Oreochromis niloticus: one gene and its partners. The protein of the gene in region 1 purifies or fractionates together with the protein of each later gene. This does not show direct contact. Links are inferred from orthologs where the notes say so. Each region holds a gene or a part of one and is shown in the gene's direction. Other genes may lie near its edges.

The links.
Region 2: the proteins of tfdp1a (region 1) and transcription factor E2F3 purify together in Homo sapiens (affinity purification with mass spectrometry; 3 studies listed by BioGRID and IntAct, with this or other methods). This does not show direct contact. The link is inferred for Oreochromis niloticus from reciprocal best matches to the Homo sapiens genes TFDP1 and E2F3.
Region 3: the proteins of tfdp1a (region 1) and e2f2 purify together in Homo sapiens (affinity purification with mass spectrometry; 3 studies listed by BioGRID and IntAct, with this or other methods). This does not show direct contact. The link is inferred for Oreochromis niloticus from reciprocal best matches to the Homo sapiens genes TFDP1 and E2F2.

Annotation. Positions count from the first base shown.
Region 1 is NC_031987.2:21,263,740-21,271,569, reverse strand, and holds the start of tfdp1a (transcription factor Dp-1a), read left to right. Parts: upstream 1-4,812; 5' UTR 4,813-4,963; intron 4,964-6,007; exon of another isoform or gene 6,008-6,302; intron 6,303-6,942; 5' UTR 6,943-7,015; coding exon 7,016-7,027; intron 7,028-7,453; coding exon 7,454-7,520; intron 7,521-7,703; coding exon 7,704-7,825; intron 7,826-7,830. Other genes in the region: dcun1d2a (DCN1-like protein 1), read right to left, coding at 109-111. UniProt on the Homo sapiens protein: Can stimulate E2F-dependent transcription.
Region 2 is NC_031976.2:8,581,814-8,589,582, forward strand, and holds the start of transcription factor E2F3, read left to right. Parts: upstream 1-4,751; 5' UTR 4,752-5,037; coding exon 5,038-5,319; intron 5,320-5,406; exon of another isoform or gene 5,407-5,612; coding exon of another isoform or gene 5,613-5,660; intron 5,661-7,300; coding exon 7,301-7,421; intron 7,422-7,769.
Region 3 is NC_031983.2:14,406,182-14,414,014, reverse strand, and holds the start of e2f2 (transcription factor E2F2), read left to right. Parts: upstream 1-4,738; 5' UTR 4,739-4,971; exon of another isoform or gene 4,972-5,162; 5' UTR 5,163-5,282; coding exon 5,283-5,558; intron 5,559-7,833. UniProt on the Homo sapiens protein: Transcription activator that binds DNA cooperatively with DP proteins through the E2 recognition site, 5'-TTTC[CG]CGC-3' found in the promoter region of a number of genes whose products are involved in cell cycle regulation or in DNA replication.

The DNA of each region.
Region 1 (7,830 bases):
CCAAAACGCGACACATCATGTACTTTAATACCACGACAATAGTCTTGTAAGCAAACCTTACTGGCATTAAATCCAGTGCCCGGGTTTGTGTTTATTTTGGTTACCTACCATTTTTACACCCGCTGTTTGACCAGTTTGGTAGTCCGACTGTCGTTCATTATACGCATGCGCGGAAGTAGCCGGATTGCATAAAAAAGATGAGGTCTGCGGTAAACGCTCCGCTTGATATTTGCATTATTTGCGCTTATTTGATTACAAGTATTGCTTGTACCCGTAATTGTCGCGCAAAGAGAGTTAAAACGACACTTTCAAATACGTTGTTATACCAAGTGTAATACACATACAGGAAAACTCCCTCAAAACTGCATTCAGCACTGTTAAAAATAAAACTCAACCCCACCCTTCACCCGCTACACACACAGACACACACTTGTTGACTGCCAACATCCTCACACACCATCCACAAAACAATACACACTGTAAAACACAGCATCAGTAATCCTCCTTCACTGCACATCACACCTGCCTTGATCTGTTAGTGGCAGACATATGAACAGCTGACCGAAGAAATTTATTTAAACTGCATTAAAACAGCGACATTAAGGAGCTGTTGTAGACATCCAAGATTGATAGGTGACCCCAAAGCCTCAAAAAAAAAAAAAGAAAGAAAGTCAGAGCAGCCATTCTGAAATGTCATTGTAGGGTAAGCACAGGTGTAATAACATTCATCATGGCACTGCTCCATTTAGAAGGGTCTATTGTGCTTGCCAGCTCACTAGAACGACTGATAGACTAAATATAACAGGGTTATAATTGAGTTTAACACTTACATGCTTATTGTAGTATGAGATGTCAAAGTGGTTATTGTGAAAAAGACCTATTTTGATAGTAACCATTAATGAATATGGCTATATTAGCAAGAAAAAATCTAAAACATTGTTTGTAGTGCTGTGGAAAGGTATTGGGTTATGCTTACAGTGTTTACTGAATAAGATAACTAACTTTGGAATAGTTAACTTTAAATATATTTTAATAAAAGTCGCATCCCAGACCTGTTGAATCAAGAAATCACATAAATAAAAACCTGTCTGACAAAGTGAAGTAGGGTAAAAGACCTCAAACAGCAAAACATCATGCAACGATTTAAAGAAACTTCAGAACAGATAAGAAACAAATTCATTGACATCCATCAGTCTGGAAGGGGTTACAAGGTAATTTCTAGAGCTTTAGGACTCCAATGAACCATGGTGAGAGCCATTATCCATAAAAGAAGAAAACCTGGAACAGTGGCGAGCCTTCCCAGAAGTCGCCGGCCTACCAAATTTACCCCAAGACCGCATTAAATCATCTAGGAGGTTACAAAATAACCCAGGACAACCTCTAAAGAACTGCTGGCCTCACATGTCTCAGTTAAGGTTTATGATTCAACAGTAAGAAAGATACGGGGGGAAAACTGCATCTATGGGAGGATTCAATTCAATTTATATAGCACCATATCACAACATCAATCACCTCAAGGTGCTTTACATTGTAAAGTAAAGACCCTACAATAATAAAGAGAAACCTCAACAATCAAAGGACCCCCTTTGGGCAAGTGCTTGGTGACAATGGGAAGGAAAAACACCCTTTAAACAGGAAGAAACCTCTGGCAGAACCAGGCTCAGGGAGGGGCAGCCATCTGCTAAGACCAGTTGTGGGTGAGGGGAGAAGACAGGACAAAAGACATGATGTGGAAGAGAGCCAGAGGTTAATAATAACTAATGATTAAATACAGAGTGGTGTGTAAACACAGTGAAAAATGTGACTGAAGGAGAAACACTCCTTCATCATCAGAAGCCCCAGCAGTCTAGGCCAATTTGCAACAAAACGGGGCCCTAACTATATTCTTAGTCAGCAAAAAGGAACATTTTAAGCCTAATCTTAAAAGCAGTCTGTCTCCCGAATTCAAAACTGGAAGCTGATTCCACAGAAGAGGGGCCTGAAAGCTGAGGGCTCTGCCTCCAACTGTACTTTTAAACCTAGTAAACCAGCAGTCTGAGATCAAAGTGCTTTATTGGTGTGATATTGTACTGTGAGGTCTTTGAGATTTGATAGGGCCTGATTATTAAGGACCTCTGATGTGATGAGAAGGGTTTTAACTTCCACTCTGGATTTAACAGGGAGCCAACGAAGGGAAGCCAGCATGTGAGAAATACGCTTTCTCTATCTCTTCCTTGTCAGTACTCTTCCAGCATTCTGGATCAACTGAAGGCTTTTCAGGGAATTTTATGGCAGCCTGATAGTAATGAATTACAATAGTCCAGTGTAGAAGTAATAAATACATTAACTAATTTTTCAGTCTGAGGATTTTAATCTAATATTGGAGATGCTATGTATGCTATGCCTTCTAATGATACTACGTAAAAGCATGTATAATATAAACAGAACTGGTCCTAGCACTGAACCCTGTGGAGCTCCATAATTAACCTTAGTGTGTGAAGAAGAGTCCCCATATACATTAACAAACCAGAGTCACACAGAGAACACAGAGATGAGTCCACTGTCAGAGGCCATAGGAAGATCATTTGAAGCCTTCATAAAAGCTGTGCTGTGATGGGCTCTGAAACTCAACTGAAACTCTTCAAATAGCCATTCCTCTGCAGATGATCAGGTAGCTGTTTTACAATTACTCTTTCAAGGCTTTTTGAGATAAAAAAGAACGTTGGACATTGTCCTATAATTTGCTAAGACCGCTGGGTCAAGTGATGGCTTTTAATATGATAGTTTAATTACTGCCAGCTTGAAGGCATGTGATACATAGCACATTAATAGAAATAGACTGATCATATTTAAGCTTTAACGATAGGACTTTGAGCAGTCTTGTAGGAATGAAGCCTAAAGTGCATGCTGATGGTTTGGAGGAACTAATTACTAAAGTTAATACAGAAAAATTCCAAGGAGAAAACCACCGCTGACCTAAAAGACCACAAAGGCTAGTCTCACATTTGCCCCAAAAAACCCATCTTGATGATCCGTAAGACTTTTTGGAAAATATTCTGTCGACTGACAAGACAAAAGTTCAACTTATTGGAATGTTTGAGTCCCATTACATCTGGCATAAAACTAATACAGGATTTCATAAAAAGAATATCAGAGCATTGGTTTATGCATCAGCCCCCCCCCAAAACAAACAAACAAACAAACAAACAAAGAAACAAACAAACAAAGAAACAAACAAAAACAACATCCAAAAACGTTTTTTGAGTGACCTAGTCAAAGTCTGGGCTTAAAGCCGATTGAGATGCTTTGGGATGACCTTAAACACGCCATTAATGCTCTGAAACCCTCCAACGTCGCTGAATTAAAACAATTCTGCAAAGAACACCAAGGCCTTGGTGTTCCCCCGGAAAAGGTGGAAGAGGTAACTAGGGAAAGGGAGTTTTGCTTAGGGTGTTGCCCCCACAACCTGGTGCCAGATACACATAAGAAAATGGATGGATGGATGGATGGATGGATGGATGGATGGATGGAGAAAATCTACCTTGCCCAGCTATTCAAGAGTCACAAATACATGACTCATATGATAATTCAAGCAAAGAAAGGCAAACGGTTAAACCCTTATGAGCTAAGAAAAACATTTGTGATTACTTTATTAAAAAAATAGTATGGTAACAGGGTTAAATAAGAGTAACAGGGCTGCACAAGATAACGGGGTTGAACGGATATATTACTTTTACTTGTAGATTATGACATATGTGTGACAAATAAATACTCAGGACTACACAGAAATGTTGTTTAATAACATCTTATATATTTTTAACATGTTTGTAATGTTTGTTTTATATGTACAGTAACAGGATTGCAAATCAGTGCTAATATTAGAGTTTTCTCAGAAAAAGATGTAAGCTGATAGTTGACTGTGAAAGTCAAGAATAAATATAGAGATGTAAACAAAGGAATTAAACTTTCCAATTACTTTCTCTTTTGGTAATATGAATATCAGGGTTTGCATTGGCTGGAATGACACAGTCTAGTTAGAAAAGACTGGAAAAAATACAAAATATATCACAGAGGACTGACCTTCAATCTAACCACGGTGTTAACACGCGGCTCAATCGTGTCACTGACTTTTTGTCAAGTCACTCACTGTTTGGCCTCTTGTTTTTCCAGCCTAAATAGGTTTCAGTAACAGGGCTGCACATAGGTTTGCAGTGCGTAATTACTCTTCTTTAATATATGTTGATGTTTGCATGTTGTAAGCTGATGATGAACAAAATCAAAACAAGAAAAAAAGTGGATTTATAACGATTTTTAGCTGTTATAAATTAGTTATCGAGAGTTTGGCAAGAGAAAAAAATGCTATTTTGATAGTTCTCAAGAAGTATTTTGTATTTATATAATATTTTGGAATTGGAACCAACTTCACACTACAAATGTATGTTGTAATCTTTTGTGCCTGGACTGTTTTCAAATTCATATGGGGGAGCAAAGAAAATCTCCTGCATTTGTACAATGGCTCACTAATAGTGACAATAGTGAGTGTTGAGACCTCTCCAGTGCACTTGCTATTACTGATTTTTGCACCAAATCAGGTGAAATTGTTTCACAATGACTCATGGCTTCCTAACTGGACAGATTTGCATCCCTGAAGATTAACTAACTTTGTGTTAAATCTTCGATACTCTGATCCCTTACGTATTTTAAGACTTGTCATATTTACACATTTTTTATGGCACACTCCTGTGCAGCAGACGGCGCTGCATGTATCACGAGGGCTCTGGTATCCACCAATCCAAAGAGCTCCAGGTTGTGGGCATGAACTATTTTGACCGCTTTGCTTTCGTCTCATTCGTGCTGTCCAATCAAGCTCCACTAAAGCGAGGCACCGCCAAGATCAGATTGTGAGAGACGCTGGTGTAGCAAGGCTAACGGAAAGTCGATAGGAAAGGCTAGCGAGCAATCTGTTAACCTGTAAGGTGCACCGGTAAGCAGCATTCACTCACCTGCAGCTTGTCACTCAGCTGACGCATATGATAGAAACCGACGTTAAATATCTGTATGACCTTCTATTGTTTGTTAAGTATATAGAATTTTTTTTTTACCGCCAATAAATACAAAGCTAGCCGTCGAGGTAAACTTGTAGCTAATTCTGGGGTTGTCGATGACAGCTGGGGGTTAGCTTCTGTGCTAACCCACTAGCTAGCCAGTGAGCTAACAAAGCGCTGAAGCACCTACTTCTTGAAGTGCAATCGCGAGTTAGCTCAGTGTTGAAATAAACATTTTGATAATAAAGACAAGTACTTTTTGCATTGCATTTAATACATCCTCTTTCAAGTCGCTAACCTACGGCATGTAGCTGACTGTAACGAAGTGAAGAACAGAGCTAGTTTTGCGGTTCACGATGATTGTAATCGACCTGATTACAGTAACGTACTTGTATTGGATCCGTATGCAACGGTTCGTTTGGAAACGAACCTTATAAAAACTAATATTTAAGTTTTAGACACCTCAAAATGGCCACCTTTCTGTTAATTTAGCGTCAGGAAAGTATTCGTAAGGGTCTTCGTGTTTTATTAAGAACAAATAAGAAAGGTTACGCGATTAAATGCGTGGAAAAATAATAATAATAATACTAAGTCGAGTGTTTTTAAATGTAACTTCCAGACAACAAAGTGTGTTATTCATTAGTTAGCTATGTGTGTTGATACTGGTTACTACACTGGCAAAAGGAGGTCAGCGATTGACAATAAAACACAATAAACTCACGGAGTATATGCAGCTGCCTGCAACTGGTATTTCAGAAGTTGTGGTTAACTGTGGCAAAACATTTTTATCGTCTGGATTAAATCCACCTTGCTGGCATCGATGGCAAACTTTGTTTACTTTTTAGTCTGCTTGACTTGGAAACGATCACTCTTTGTACAGCTAACACACAGCAAGTTATGCAAATCCTGGCATGGCTTGTTGTATTAAAAAATAAGCTTAAAAGTGAAATACTCAAAGTAAATACATTATTTCGTACTTCAAATGAACTATATAATTGTTAAAAAGTATCTCGACATTTCTTAGTTTGTTTCCTGTTTAGTGGGGATTTAGACCTCCTCTTCCTCCATTCTCAAATGCCAACAACAACAGCCGTCGAGGAGACAGAGTGCACTCGTAAGCGCATACAGTCACCACAGTTAAGCTCATTCATCGTGCGAAAGGCACGTTCACTATTTTAAGTGTTAACCCATGGTGTAGTGTAGCTGGGATCTGCAGCACGGAACCAATAATCGCAACATTTCTACATGAATCGTCTCAGAGCGTGCAGGAGCTAACTAGTAAGCTAAGACCAGCAAGCTGGGTCTACCGCTAGCTGTTAGCAGCTAGCTGCGTCCAACAAAAGATTGTTCGTGCTAATCGACATATAATATGACCGCTGTTACAGTATCATGCAGCCACAGTGCCTGGAGCCACATAGTGCTGTCTCTGTTGCGACATTATCAGTTTAGCGCTGTTGTGGTAAAGTTCGCTTGTTTGCGTGACCTGTAGCAGAAGTTGGACGGTGCCTCTCCTCCGGACGTGCTCGGTACCTGAAGTAGGCCTTGTGCACACTTAGCGTAGTAAAAGTTGTGAGCATCAAGGGATGGCTTAATATGGTTTCCCGCATATCTAGAACATTTAAAAGTACTGCTCGGTGGCTCGTTCACGTGAGATTGGTGTGAGAAACGTACATTTCTGCGCATTTTGGCTTATAAAACAAATAGTGACGCTAACATTGGTGATGTAGTTAGCTTTCTACAATGTGCTCTTAGCAAGCAGACCAGATGGGCCTTACTTCAGAAATAAGTTTAAATTTCATCTCCAAAACAAAGTGAAACACAGCTTAGCTTGGGAAACAGTATTGGGAAATATGATGTTTGGGTCAAACTGTAATTTTGTCATTATTTAAGTAATAGTTTGTTCTCTTTCTGTTTACAGGGGTCTGAATAGTGACTGGCAGAGGAAAAGTCTTTTTAACCCAAAGCATACCTCTTTTCGGTCCTTTGGGATCATGGCTAAAGATGTAAGTAAATATATACATGGTTTCATGAGAAACATCAGGCTATTTTGGCTGTGTCACCTAGACTGTAGCTAATTTTGGGTCCTTAAATTTACTGGCTGCACTTAGTCTTGTAGCGTTTTCTTTTTTCTTTTTTTTCTTTTTAAATAGACTGTGGGATTTGTTTAGTGATTTCATAGTGGAGTGGTTTATACATTTGCCTTACAAAAGATCCCCTGTTAGGTCCTGGAAGGTGACACAGTTCCACTGAATCAGGAAGGGCATCCATCCAGCATAAAAACTCTGCCAAATCAAACTTGTACAACTCACTGCGGTGACCCCTCATAAATAAGGCATCAGCCAAAAGTAGCTTCTACTGTATGTTTGTTTAACTGGACTCGTCTTCAATTCTGTGGTTTCTGCAGTATATTAAGTTGTTCTCTTTTACAGGCTGGTCTAATTGAAACCAATGGAGAGCTGAAGGTTTTCATCGATCAGAATCTGAGCCCTAGTAAAGGTATATTTTGTGAATACTTGCCTACAGAAATTGTGCATATGTGATATACAGGGCATTCTAAGCAGTATGTACAGTCTAGTTTAAGAGGCAGCAGGGCTGTTTGTTGGTAGGTGGACAATAGGGGGCAATGGTGTTTCATTCAAAAGCTTCCCTCATTAATGATCTTCTCATGTCTCCTATAAGGTGTCCTGTCCTTGGTTACTGTCCAGCCCACAGCTGCCCCTGTGGCCAAACAGCTACTACCCAAAACCCTTGGGCCATCCAATGTGAACGTCGCTGCACACATGCAAAATGTGCCACACATGGTAAG
Region 2 (7,769 bases), on another chromosome or scaffold:
AAATGGTACTCCCTTAGTCCTTGGTTATCCATGGCTGAGTTTTCATAAACCACAGATCAACTGGTCTAAAGGCTGTCTTTCCAGGTGGAGCCTTTGGTGCTGTGAAAACTGTTTACGGTCGGTCAGTTACTTTTTGTTTCTCGACCGCTGCCCCACCTGACTTAGCTGAACCACCTAATCTAACCTCCATTGTCTATCATGACTTAGCTAAAGTGTTTAGCAAAGACTTAGCTCTTTCTCTCCCGCCTCATCGTCCCTACGACTGTGGCCCCACTTCCCACTATACATCTGTACAGTCTCTCTAATCCAGAGATGGAAGTTATGGCGCATTATATTACTGACTCCCTAGCTGCCAGGATAATCTGTCCGTCCACTTCCCCGCTCGGCACGGGCTTGTTCTTTGTAGAAAAGAAGGACAAACCTCTCTGTCTATGTACTGACTTTCTTTGTCTAAACAAAATCACTGTAACAAATTAGTACCCCCTTCCTCTGTTGTCTTTGGCCCATTAGTTACCGCAAGGAGCTCAATTTATGAAATGCACACCACCTATTCAGAATAAGGGAGGGAGATGAATGGAAAACAGCCTTCAATACTCACCTTGGACATTTCGAATATCTGGTCATGCCATTTCGACTCACTAACGCCCCTGCAGTGTTTCAGGCCTTAGTGAATGACGCCCTAAGGGATTTCATCAATCATTTTGTATTTGTTTACGTTGATGACATTCTCATCTTCTCCAAATCCAGGTCGGAACACAAGAAACATGTCCGCCAAGTCCTGGAGCAGTTGCTGGAGAACCACCTCTTTGTAAAAGGAGAAAAATGTGAGTTTCATGTCCAGTCAGTTTCCTTCCTCAGGTTCATCGTGGAACAGGGTAAGCTACAAGCTGACCCGGCTGAGATTAAAGCTGTGGTGGAGTGGTCTCAACCCCAAACAAGGAAACAGCTTCAAAGATTCCTTGACTCTGCTAATTTGTGGGCGACCAGGAGCTTCTAACCATCAAGCTTGCATTAGGAAAATGGAGGAAATCGCTGTAGGGGATGGAACATCCACTGGAGAACTTCTGCATTAAAATAAGTTTACTGTATGTTGCTTAATCTCCCACAATGCATTTCGATTGTTACCCTGTTTTGTAAAATGATGTTTCTGTCATATTTTTTGTTGTGCCATAGTCCTGCCCCCCTCGACTTGAATTTTGTAAATATTGCTGAGGTAGTTTATTGTACCACAGACCAAGAGGAGAATTTACTGCACGGGACTCGGGAGACTGTCACAAAGGAAACTTTTTTTTGGAATTGTTTTTGCACATCTTTGCTTGTTTTTTCCACTATAAATAAATTCGCTGTCACCTATCAGGAAGTCCTGCATCTGTGCTGAGTATGGCCTAGGAGTTCTAGGGTCAAAATGGGATACACCCCCAAGGGTTGTTGCAAATGACCAAACTAAGATCCTGTGGAGATACAGATGGACAAACTGGTGGTGGCTAACCAACCAGACATCATAGTGGTGGACGAGCACAGAAGATGGCTGTAGTAGTAGATTTAGCTATACCAAGTGATAGCACCATCACAAAGTAGAGAACGGGAGAAATACAAAGGGTTGAGAGAGGAGCTAGAGGATGCTGAAGGTGAAGGCAACAGTGGTCCCCGTGGCAACAGGAGGACTTAAAAATATCATATTTTCTAAATGATAAACAATCAATATGACACTGAAGATCAACTGCAAAATCAAACCAGAATAAGGTTAGTTAGGACACATCATCATGCTTTAGTCTGAGGTGGTTTCTTTCTGAATCTTTCTTAATATGAAGGGCGGTTTCTTTGGCCTTTATGTCATCCTGTCACCACAATTCACCGTCTATTTACAGGGTATACAAACCATACTGACATACTGTTGGCTAGAAAGACAGCAGTGTAATGTGACCTTTAAGTCAAACTACTAACTTGTCATACAGTAAAACATCACTGAAGTCATGATGGATGGATATCCCCATTTATATTCCACACTGACACAACACACGGTTATTTTCAGCTGTTTCAGCTGCTCTACCTTCCACTTTACAGTTATTATTGTATTATATGTCAAAGTAAAAATGAAAACGAAATGTGGGGAAACAGAATGTCGTGTGGGTCTTGTCTAAGGAACCGCACTCAGCAATCAGGCCAACTAAATTGGATTGTAGTCAGGGGACAGTTATCACTGAAGTCAGTTATACTTGTAACTTTTTGTCATGCCCTCACTGTCTTGTCCTCCATCCAAACACCTGTATGGTGGCCCTGATGTGCAAAACAAAAAACAAAATGTTTCTGCTTTGGCTACATGTGGTAACATGACGGACAAAACTCAGGATAAGAAAAGCAGGCATAACTCTGCATAACATTATCCAGTGATCTCAGTCTGAATTCTTTCCAGTGTGCTATCATGGAAGGAATGTCTTTGTTAAAAGATTCTCTCATTATTCCAAAATCCCTTTCCATATTTTTTTAACTCTCTGAAAACTTTAAATTCCGCGCAAGGACACTGCTCAGAGTAGTATAGAAACATCAGGCTGTCGCTATAGATAATTCTAATAATAATACTAATAAAGGGTGATGTTGTTGTGTTTTCAGTTGTATTGTTGTGTTTTGCACCTCAGGGCACCATACAGTAGATCTTGTGACTGCAAGACATAGTTTCACTTTGTGTAGAGTCATGTAAAAAAGAGACTTTTCACAGTTGCTTGTAGAGCCACCTTTAGCAGCAACAAATTGAAGTCATTGTTTTCTTTATAACTTTATTGGTTTCTCATGTCATTGTGGAGAAACTTTGCCTTGAGCTTCTTTGCTGTGATGTTTCATTTCATTGAGGTTTGTGGGACTTTATTTATGCACACCTCTCTTCAGGTTCTTTCCAATCGGGTGGAGATCTGGACTTTGACTTGAGCCACTGGAACATCATCTTTTCTCAGGTATTCTGTTGTGGTTGATTTGCTGCTCACCCAGTTTCACCCAAACTTTAGATGGCAAACAGATGATCTCTTATTTCACTCTAGAATTTCTGTGTATGATCTGTACATATGGGTTTGGACAATAAAGCTGACTTTGACTTTGGGAATACTCTGGTATAGAGAGGAGTTGACAGTCATCTCAGTAACTACAAGGCACCCAGGTTATGAGGCTGGAAAGCAAACACAAATCATCACCCCTCCACCACCGTGTTTGACAGTTGGCATGAGGTGATTTTACAGATTTGTTGTGTTTGATATTCTCCAGACATGGTGCTGAAAATTGTGGACAAATATCTCTACTTTGGTCTGTCCAAAGGACATTGTTCCAGATGCAAACCTAAACTGTGCTGCTATGTTCTTCAGGCTTTCCCCTGGCAACCCTTCCAAACAAGCCATAGATGTTCAGTTTTCTTCTAATTGTACTGCCAAAAAACTTTAATATTTAACATACAAACTGAGGCCTGAGATTGGGAATTTTCCATTTCTCTGGGCATGGAATGAATTTTCTGGAATGTCCACTCCCAGGAAGATTGCAGCATTGTCCTGACAACACACACCTACAGTAAATGCCCCAGATCAGCAAACTGCTCAAACTTCAGCTTTTATCAAGGTGCTCACACTTGCTGATGATCAGTCAATCAAGTGCATTTCATTTGCAGTACCTGAGAGTAATTCCAATTACAGTGGAAGCGAAAACTTCTATTTTAACTTCTGAAAACGTTCTTTTTCACTTGGCTGTAACTTCATGCCATCTATATCTTCCCCTATAATTCTTTCACTTATGCAGATGACATCAGCACACTTGCTCCTCAGTTATTTTCTCCTTGAACATGGTCCAAAGAGATGAACATCACACAATGTACTATTTAAGCAATCACTAAAATAACAAACAAAGAAAACAAAATCTGTGATGTCACTGGGTGCTTTGGAAACTAATGGGAAAAGAAGAAGTTAATCACATTTGTTGCAACATAGAGTTGAGCTCACTTGCAGCACTGAGACTGTGTATTGGGACCTGATTTTTGCAATGTATGTGCCTTTTTTAAAGTTATAGGTAAGATCCAAAACCTTCACTAAAGCAAATTATGATTAATGTAAACCTGTTCAGAAATGATAAGAAGCACAAACCTATGGCTTTGCAAATGTTAAAGCAAATTTACACAGTTGCAAATGACTTTTGCAAAAACATAATTAAATTAAATGGTAAATGGACTAGTTCTTATATTGCAATTTTCTATTCTACCTGAATAGAAAATTTCTATTCTACCTACCTTATTTTTCCTTATAAGGAAAAATAGGGGGATGCAAATTGGTTCCAGTCTTTTATTTGAAATCATAGCTCTCTGTTGTCTATAATATTGTAGGTTAAGATTTTATGTCATGCAACGTTGTCATAGTAAATTTAAGGGTCACACACAAAAAAAATCAAGCTAAAAAAATGAGCCTAATATTGTGTACGGTGTTACATTCGGGTCAAATGATAATAATTACATTTTTATTGCTATAATATTTAAGTCCGTAGATATGTTTTGGTTCTTCATGCTTTCTCTTCAGCAAATTGGTCTCTGGCGCCACCTTACGTCCTATCAGAGAGCTCGCAAGGCGTGACAAGTGACGCCACGTGTTTACAACTGCCAATGAACACGTGGCGCACTAAATCTGAAGCCGTCATTGGTCGAAATGATATCGATATGGGTGGGTACTCCGCCGTTAGGAGCCAATAGGGTCTGGCATGTAAATTCCGTTTGAAATTTTCCCGGGAAATCTGAGTTTCGCGGGAGGGTTCTTGAGCGCGTAAACCGTATCCCTTCATTCATCAGGCCGTTTCCTGAAGCCATTTCTAGACGGGGGAAACGAGAGTTGCGCTACTTTTTAATCCGTTGCATCTGCCTAAATGCACTTTCTGAGGGAAAAATACTTTTCAGAAATCGATAGTTCAGACACTCGTCTTTACTTTGGTCTGATTATTTTTGTAACCATTGCGGCGGATTAGCAGCTATACGAGCTCGAAAGTTCCGAGATAAGAAAGGGGTTACCCTGAATACGCAAGATGAGAAGAGGGACCTCCTCGGCTCAGGAAAAAGTGATTTTAGCAGGGGTTGGAGGCTCTTCTCTGGATAATAATATAATTTTAACAGCTCTCTCGGATCGTTTGAACCCCGGTCAATCAAACGCTACGTATATCCAAATAATAACCACACCACCGCCTTGCAACGTTACACAGACATCAAATGTGTGTTTATCCGAGCCTCAGATTAACAACATTTACACAACTCCACAACAAGCTGCAGCAAACGCAGCAGGACAACGACCCGCTCTGGGAAGACCGCCGGTAATAATCCACACAGCTTGCTTATACATTTAGCTTTGCTACGCTCAGCTACACAATGTTAGCTTGCTAACCTAGCCGAGCTTGTTGTTCAGGGCAGCTAACGTTAGCTACTTAGCCAGGGCATTCCCACGACTCAACCTAGCGAGGTGGCTAACTAACTACCGCTAGCTAAGTTACCCAAGTGGGCTGGTTAAGTGTTTTCGTTTACTGTGGGGACGCCAGTGACAAGTTTAAGTGAGTTTAGCGTTAACTGGAATGCAGACCTGTCAACTAAGAGAGTGTTAGCAGACTTCATGGTGCTTTTGAGTCCGCTTCACCTTTGCAGCCAGATGGAAATATTGGTAAGAGATGACTAACGTTAGCGCTGGCCTAGTGGCTGCTGTTGGTGTCTTAATTTGGGGGGTTGGGGGATGGTTTCCCTGCCCGGTTTTTGGTAAGCTATATGTTTGTTTTTAGCGTTTTAATGCTACATGATTAGTGGAACTTATAAAGGCACGATGTTATACGCAGATATCGCTACAATTCAGTCTGGGGTCTGCTCGATAGATTTTCTCCCAGTCGTCTGTGAAGATGCAAGCCAACTTGGGTAAAGCTTTGAAAATATGCGTTAGCTATCAGAGCTAGTAGCACTATTGGTTATTAGAGAGCAACGTTAGTCGTTGTCGAGCTTGACCTTATTCTTTTAATTCGGCACAACTGTTTCATGCCACTCTTTTGTCACTAAAGTAACGCTGTGGTGCCTTTCATGTCAAGTAAAGTGAAACCCGAGTTTGTTGCTTTAGTGCTGATTCTACGTTTCCTGTATTCTCAACATGCACAAACCACACAAAACAGTTAAAGCTGCATTCAGGGTGTTGTTTTCTTTTCTTTCTCCTCCTGGTTATTCATCTTTTATGAACTCAACCAGTCTGCACATATCAGGCTGTGAGCCATGAGAAGGCTTTGGGGTGAGGGGAGCTGCTTGCTGATATAAAATGGCTGACACTTTGACTGTCAACAGAGGACATATTTTTTTCTTTCTCAGTCTGGGGTTATGCAAAAGATGAAGTAGTAAGTATGGGTTTAAAAATTATAATATGTTTTCCATTTCAGGGGAAAGTGGCTTCTGCTGTGCATGAGTTTTAGAGGGAAATGCAGACCAGCAAGCTGGTGGCACTCTGTCCTGCTCAAAGACACTAAAACAGGATGGATTCTTGCAAAAGCACAGATTGATGTTCATTGGGCTATAATTGAGATGGGTTATGGTTAAAAAAATGATTATTATTGTGTTTTTGTGCTTTAAGAAACAAAACATGTATTCAGGTATGTTTATGGTAAGAAATGTAACATCTGCATTACCAAATCCAATGTTCAACACATGCCATAAATGAGCTCAAACATGGTGAATGGTACAGATGAATCTGGAGGCAATGTAGATTCATATGAAACTAAATAAAAGCTTGTGTTGGAGCCATAAATTGCTGGATCATATGCTTAAACAGACTCATGGTGGGTAATTGGACATCAGACATTTTTGTCTGGATTTGAGAATCAAGTTTTGGACTGAGCAGAACTACTTGATGCTTCCTTTAATTATTGGGCTGGGTGGAGTTATACGGTCTAATATTTATTGGGATTGGCGTTGGTGTGCGGTGGGACGTTCAAATCGTCGATGTGACTCACTCTTGAGCTATTTGGGCTTGCCCTTTCCAATAAAATTGGGGGAAAATATAAATCCGGTGGCTGACAAAACTTCTTTCAATTCAGATTTGATGTCGCTGTCCTTGCTGCGAAAACCTCAGGAATACTGAAGTAGTCGACGGAGAACAATCACATTTGGTGACTAAAGGCAGTCTGAAACTAGCAGTCACTCTGTCTGTTTATGTAAACGCTTCTTTGGTCCTCTGCTGTGTTTTAGAGAGACTAGGCTTATGGAAAGGCTTTGGAGGTTACTGCCAAATGACCACATCCACCCTTAACTATCCCTTCTGCTTTCTCCTAGGCAAAAAGGCGATTGGCACTCGATGATTCGGACCACCAGTACCAGACAGAACCAGCCAAAACTCCTAGAGGTAGAGGAGGAGCCGCGGCATCAAATGGGGCACGGCTGAAGACACCCAGAAGTAAGAAGGTGGCTCTTAGGAGCCCTCTGTCGTCTTGTTTGTTCATTTCACTGCAGATTGTTTCAACTTCATCATGTCCATGCTCCTGCCGAGCAGCACAGATGGGAACACTGTAGATGCAGCTGGTTTTTTTTTATGGTTATTAGAATAAAATGAGTTTTGTTTTTTCCCTTGAGCTAAACATCAACATGAAGGTAAGGTCCTTGGTTCTCTCCGAGTGGTTCACTCAGCTTTCCGTGAAGAAAAATCTCTCCAGTGTTATATCAGTATATTAGTAGTGCTGATTAATCGGTTTCATCAATATATAAACAGTAGTATTGTGTATATAAACCATGGAGCTGAAATGGG
Region 3 (7,833 bases), on another chromosome or scaffold:
GCTGAACGATAATAAAAGAATCTGAATTTTAAAATAACAGTGTTAGGATGGCTCATAGCGGCTGGGTTAAAATAGGAGGCATGTGGTAGAGATGAGGTGCAGACCACCCACGTGTTTATTCACCAACGTTAAAAAATAAAAAAATAAAAGCTAAAACAGAACAAAAAATAAGACAATGTAGCCCAGTGGTGGGACCTGGTTCCAGCAGCGGCCCTGAACTGGCAGCCTTTTATTGACTGCTGCTAATTGGGTCTCAAGCCATACGAGACATACACGCTAAAGTAAAATAATAAACTGCACACAAATCTTTTCTAATAATGTTTCTTAACATCAAATCAATACTGAAAAAATAGTTACAACTATTATTATGAAATATTTTCCCACTTGGCCTACCACCTAAAATCTACAATAAAACTATTATGGCTGTTCAATCCGCTCTTCGATCACTAGGTGCTGCCTGGAACCTTTAAAAAGCACTTAGGAAGTCTTGGGACTCTTTTGGTTGGCAAAAACATTGGGAGAAAACACAAGTAGGACACAATCTTGTCATCACAATAGTCACTTGGGATATAAATTGGCTCTCCTACCCATTAGCATACACAGGAGGTAAATATCAAACCGGTATTTTCCACCAGTTTAACCAAATTTACGCACATATTAACCAGTGCCAGCTGAAAGATTGCCAACAAGAAAAACCTACAGACAAATAACCAATAAAAAACATATCAAACTGTTTTGTATGTATTCTTTAACACCAATGTTAAACTTAGTCATGTATGTTAATCTGGTTAAGTAATGAAGAAGACTTTAATTGCAAGCAGCAAACAACATGAAGATCAGCTGCCAGTCCACACTAGATGGGGCTGTTGGATGAGGATGGAGCCTCCTGACATCAAGAACTGTTGCTTTCAATGTCAAAATGAAGCAGAGTAGACTAAAGCTCAAGCTCAAAATGTAGGATTGCACAATAATTTGAAAATGATTTTTCTTCTTTACAGCAGCACAGTGGACAAATGACTGATAAGCTGTCTCATGGCCAAGTAAGCCCAGTTCTCGTCTTATTTTGTGACAAATTCAGAAGGTGAAAAATCTGGAGTGGATTCCAATTGTTGAACTTGCTGGTGAAAGGTGCAAATCAGCAGTCTAGTATATTCTTAAAAATAATGAATACCCTGACCAGCTCAATAACATAGAAAGGCCCAAAAGACTGAACTAGTGCATGATTATAGGATATCCTTCTTTGTTCAGAAAACACTGAAGACATCTTTGAAAACATTCTCAAACAGGTGGGTGTATCACTCTCAAGGTCTGTTATTAAATACAGAGGGTCTATAACTAAGTGCAAACTACTGGTGTCCCTCCAGAACAATGAGGAGAGATTAGTCTTTGCCAGGAAACAGCTCAAAGAGTTTGCACAGTTCTGGGGGGAAAATGTTGGACAGATGAAACCAAGATTAACTTGTACCAGAATGATGGGAAGAGAAAAGCATGGAGAAAGAAAGGAATGGCTCATGATGGTGATAAATAAACTGGTATTATATCATGCTTTTCTACTTGGAGCACTCAAAGCACTTTTTACTACTCTCATTCACCCAATCACACACATTATTATAAGGGCTTTTTTTTTCTATATACCTAAGCACCACGAACATTCGCTCTAACGTTGATTGACGCAGCGGGGTTCTCACCCAAGGATACTCTGATACAGAGTGGAGTAGTCAGGGATTGAAGCACCGACTTTCCAAGTAGGCAACCTGCTCAATCTCAGCTGCAGCCACTCATGACCAGAAGCATACCACATTGCCAAACATGGTAGAGGAGATGTTATGGGATGAGCATGTACAACAATTAGGCATAACATTATGACTGCCTGCCTAATATTCTGTTGACCATCCTTTTTGCTACCAAAATAGCCCTGATCCAGTGGCATGGACTCCACTAGACCCCTAAAGATGTGCTGTGATAACTGGCACCAAGATGTTAGCAACACATCCTTTAAGCCCTGTAAGTGGTGAGGTGGGGCCTCTGTGGATTGGACTTGTTTGCTCAGCATATCTCACAGATGCTTGATTGGATTGGGGAACCATTTTTGCTTTGTGGCAGGGTGCATTATCTGGCTGAAAGAGGCCACACCCATCAGAGAATATAATTTCCATCAAAGGGGGTACATGGTCTGTAACAATGCTTAGTACGTGTCAAAGTAACATCCACATGATGGTAGAACCCAAGCTTTCCCAGCAGAATGTTCCCCAAAACCTCACACTACCTCCACTGGCTTGGCTTCTTCCTGTAGTGGATTCTGGTGCCCGCTGTTGTGCCCGATGAGTGACACACACGTACCGGGCTATCCATGTGATGTAAAAGAAAACATGCTTCATCAGATGAGGCCATTTTCTTCCATTGCTCCAAACTCCAGTTCTGATGCGCACTTGTTGTTGGCGCTTTCAGTAGTGGAAACAGGTCAGCAAGGGCCCCCTGACCTGACACCTTTCTATCAGAACCAGCATTAACTTTCTCAGCAGTTTGAGCTACAGTAGCTCGTCTGTTGGATTGGATCACACGGGTCTTCAGTCCCTACGTGCCTCAGTGAGCTTTAGCTGCCATGACCCTGTGACTGGTTTACCACTGTTCCTTCCTTGGACCTGCAATTTTGGAGTTCTAGCCTTCACAATTTAGCCCTCGTCAAGCTTGCTTAAATCTTTGCCCATATTTCATGTTTCTGTCGCATCAGCTTTGTGGACAAAAATGTTCACTTGCTTTTTAATATATCCCACTCACAAACAGGTGTAATGATGAGGAGATAGCCAGTGTTATTGACTTCACCTGTCAGTGGTCATATTGTTATGCCTGCTTGGTGTATGGCTCTAAGTGGAACTAGATCACTAATGCTTATTGATTATATGAATGCCAATATAAGCAGCGTGAATTCTGAAATGTGCATTACTATACTCTCTGCTCAGATTCAGTCAGATGCTGCAAAACTGATGAATTATGACCCGAAAGCATACAGCAAAAGGTACCCAAGATTTTCTCAAGACAATGAGATATCAAGGGCTAAGTCAGTCACCTGACTGGCAACCCCATCTAGCATGCACTTAGTGCACTAAGTACAAAAACAAATGCAGAAAGACCCATAAACAAGCAGCAGCTGACATTTCTGCAGTAAAGGCCTAGCAGAGTGTCTCAAGGGAGGAAAAACAGCATTTAGTGATGTTTCCTGGTTCTACTTCAGTCATCACTTGCGCCGTTACTGAAAATAGAGGACTCTGTATACAAATGGCTATAAATAGCACAGCTATTTGGGGGTGTAGGCAGCAAAGCTACAATAAATGTGTAACTGTCCCAACACTCATTTAACTCCACGTGAGTTTCATAAAACAAATTCACTGTTTGATACACTGAACAAATTTTGAAACATCACAAATTTTGATGTGACAGAGAGAAACATCACTAGTGATTTTTTTTTTTTTAAAAGAAAAGAAACAAGCAACAAAGTTTAAAGTACAAAAGGTACATCACTAGAATGCTGTGAGATGTTGCATGTTATGCAGTTGGGATAAAACGTGAATCTGAATTTCCAGTATTGCTAGTTATGCAAGAACACCTACAAATTGTGCAGGATTTTGTGTGAAAGAGGAAGAAACATGAGGGTGGGGATAATATACGTTGCACTCTGTGGGCATCCAGTGCAGTAATATGTGGTGAACGAAGCAAATTTCTTTCATCTGACAATTAAGAATTATCTCCCCATCTCTAATCCAGTGTAATAAGGAGGCAACTATGTCAGCTTTTTTTCTTCACCCTCGGTTTTTTAAAGGCACAGATGCACAACAAACAATAAATTTGTTGTGCATTCAAACCACTTTCAACTTTGATTATTTCATTCAAAATGCCGTTCAGATTGAGGCCGGACAATGGGGCTGCTTTGGTGGAGAGTCTACTTTGTCTTGGCCAAGGGGGTCAAGTCATATGGCTTGGGTTTGGTTGCTGCAAGTGGGGGAGGGGGTGTTTTCTTTCAATACCTCCTCTGAACCAATAAGCAGGAGTGGTACTGAGTGAATCCAATTATCATCTATAAACTACCCCAGCAACACCTTGTAACAGGGAACAGTACACTTTGATCACATAGAATACAATAAAGCAAAATTGTCTTTATTGTTTACAAAAAACATACAGTGTATATTTAATTATATTTACAAAATAAAACTTTAAAAAAAACTTTCCAATCCTTTCTTGCCCTCTGATTTCTAATACACATATTTTATTATGTCCTAATTACCCAGAGAGCAATTCGGCACTATTTGAACATACTGTACATGATTGCGCCATTTGCAGAATCAGACTTCATTTTAATACACTGCAAATTTCATATAAACATATGAAGTTAATATTTAACCGTTTTTGTAATCTTTGACTGTCAAGGAACTGAACTGGGATGCTGTAAATGCAAGTAAGTGGTTACAAGTGGAGTTAAAAAGGCAATAAAAAGTGCTCCAACAACAATAATGCACCTCTAACGTGTGATTATAAAGTCTGGGCTGGTCATTGTCTCCATATCCAGCCTGGCAATGAAAGAACACCATGTCTCGGATGTGTGCTCCTGTCCCTTTAAGCAGATCACTCCCATAGCCGTACAACTGTTTTATGCAAATTAGACAAGCCGAACGTGCCATGAGCCAATCAGAAGCGGCTTTCAGCCGCGGGAGATCCGAATTTCGCGGGATGAAGTTTGGCGGTAAAAAGACTGCTCTGCCCCAGCTCTTGCCCCCTTGTATGGAGAGAGGAGCTCTGAGGTGGACGGACAGGAGTGGCAGACTGGGTCGGATTCAGCACCAGAGGGAGGCACAATAATTTGTTAATCTCCTGCTGGAACCGGATCTCAGTGAGACCTGGAAGCCTTGGAGAATTAAACTTTAAAGTTCTGGACGTTTGAAATAGTTTATTTATTCAGGAAGCTATTCTTTATAACTGGTAAGGCAAGTTTCCTCTACACTGATACAGGACAAAGGATAACAACACCGAACAGCCTGTTGAATGTACTAATGATAAACGTCACATTATAACATATAAGCCTGTACTGCATGTGTAATTCATGCGGCTTGAAGCTAATCCGGCAGTTTACGCTGTGAAAGTTGCTTTTGTTTTGTTTGTGTGTGTTACAGTATAGGCAGTTTATATATTCATAGAGGTCCCGCAGTAGGTGAAGCTTGCTGAGCGATTCAGTGTGCTCAAGTACAGGCACACTTCTGCCTTCGCCTCACCGGTCCGGTTCACTCAGAAAAATGATGCGGATGCCTAAAGGCGTCTCGCCGGCATCGGGTCGGCAGGCAGTGGGGCTGCCTTGCTCTCAGCAGAAGATGAAGCTTTTGTCCACCGGTGGAGTGAAGACCGACTTCTTCCTCGCCGGACTGTCCAGTCCGCAGATGAACACGGTACCGGCCGGATATTTCACCCAGATCTGCAACACCAGCGTGGCCGAACAAAGAGCCAACAGCCTGTATTCAACCCCCCATGGACCCGAGGTTAAACCGATCAGATCATCCTCCGGGCGACTGCCGGTAAATAATCACACAAATATAAGCCTGGGGTCGTGTTTCCTTATTGTATAATATTTAGCGAGGGATTTGCATATGTCCGGAGGAGGAATATTTGACTTTTTTCATTGCTATGCATGTTTGAGAAGGGCGCATTCAGATATGTTTTGACGTGATAAGCCACAGAGGGGCCACTGTGGCTGCTGCTGATGTGCGTGAATGGTGTCTTCTCTCTTTCTTTTTTTTCCTTATCCATGCCAGGCTGTGTGACATCTTCTCCCGCAGTCCAGCTGTAGCTAACACAAGGCCAGACGCCTTGTTCTGTGTTTGATGGTTTTGATGAGCCAGTGGGGGTGCTTAGAGAGAGGCCCCACTCTCTTATGCCCAAAAGACGAGTGCCCCCCCTCCTTGATGCAGCAGAGCTAGTTTTTTTTAATACAAGCAAACAATGCAGGGGCTCAACCAAGCTGGAGGAAAGACACTTAAGGCAAATTCATAGCTTCCCAACACTTGTAATGGGTGATAACACACATAACAGATGCTCCACCCTCACTTCCCATTATGTCAAAACAGGGTCTGTGTTGGACAATGGGAAGGAAGCATAGGTCAGAGGTCATAACCACAGAACAGGTGTATTTTCTGGAGTGTGAAAGTATTACTATCGGAAGCCCTAAAGCATCACAAATAAGTAAAAGATTAACCTGTTTTGTAGAACACGTACACAGTGGGCTTTAACGACGTTTAGCAATGCCGTTCATTTTAAACTCGAATGCTGAAGATTATTTGAAAATCCTGATCTGAGAAGATTGGGTGACACTCAGCAGCTTTTTAGTGCTCCACACCTGTTGTTGTTTGTTGTATTTGGTGTCTTTATTCCAGCTGACTCGTCAGCCCTGGAGTCTTTTTTTAGATTTAATGAATTGCAGTAACGCTAAAGGGGTTAGAGTGTGTACAGGGTTTTCAAATCGCATGTCAAATCCCCAGCCCTAATAGGCCCTTCAAGAGGATTAGATGGATATAAGTAAAGTGAGAAATAGGGTACCACCTGGCATATCATGTGCCAATGTGAACCTGACTGCTGTCAAAGTGTGTATGGGTTGTTGGTTTATAGAATTATTACATGCATTCACGTTTGATAACCTGGTTTTCACCTTGAAATCCAACCTTAAAGTTTGGCCACTAGAATAAGCAAGAATTCAGTTATTAAATGACAGAATTTTTATTTACACCTCAGAAAATTAATTTGTAATTGTTCGACATACTGGATGTGATGTGGTTCAGTAGGCTTTACGACACTACCCCTGTGTACGCAATCATGTCGCCTGTGTTTTTGTGCATGCACACTGTGACCACGGTAACTTCTGTTTTCAAGGGATTTGAATATTTTCAGTTGTTGCACATTGTCACAGGTGCACATTTCAATTTTACCACAAAAACAGGAGCCTGATTCAGGTTGATAGAAGTGACGGCACGGTTGAAAATACGGATGAGGTTTCAAAAAGTTCTCTGATTAAGAAACTTCCTCTGGATCACTTCAGTAAATTGGGTAAACTTAATCAAAGGGAGGGAGCCCACCTTAAAGTTTCTGCTTTTAAACTGATCATTTTAAGTGATTTGATTCCCGTGTCTAGAAATAAGTGGTACAGTGGGCTTTAATGATGTTTGAGCTTATTCCTTCTATTATACGTTAGTTTTGTTGCACTAATATATAAATGATTAGACACAAGGATGTCATTATCTTTATGATTGGGTTTGAATGACTAAACACCACGACATTTCAGTTGCTCTTATATGTGTTGCGATGGCTGATGGTAGCTATCTTGCAGGATACATTTGATGCGATGATATTATGAAGTTTTATTGACGACAGTAAAGAAGCTGAAGATAGTAATGTGTTGCTGACACAGCTGTTTCAGTGCATGTTCAGTCATGACTCCTGTGTTTGCAGGAAGTGTTGCCTTTTCATGTACTTACAGCTCACTTCCTTTAACCTATACAACATTATAACCACAGCTTTTTTCTCTAAGATTTCCTTTTTTTAAACTTTGACTGGGAAACCAGATTCTAAAGCTTAGAATTTATTTTTGTAAGTACAAACAATCTAAACACTCTCTGAACACATTACACATAGTCCCACACTTTTGTAGGCACCTACCTACAAAAATAAAATAAAAGGTTAATATTTGACTGATTTTAGTAAATGTTAGCTGCAGAGATCCCGTCTTTACTTATTAATCTTACTAACTCTAGAAAAAGGCAACGTATCAGCTATTGGCATGTGAATTTTAACCAGGGTGTG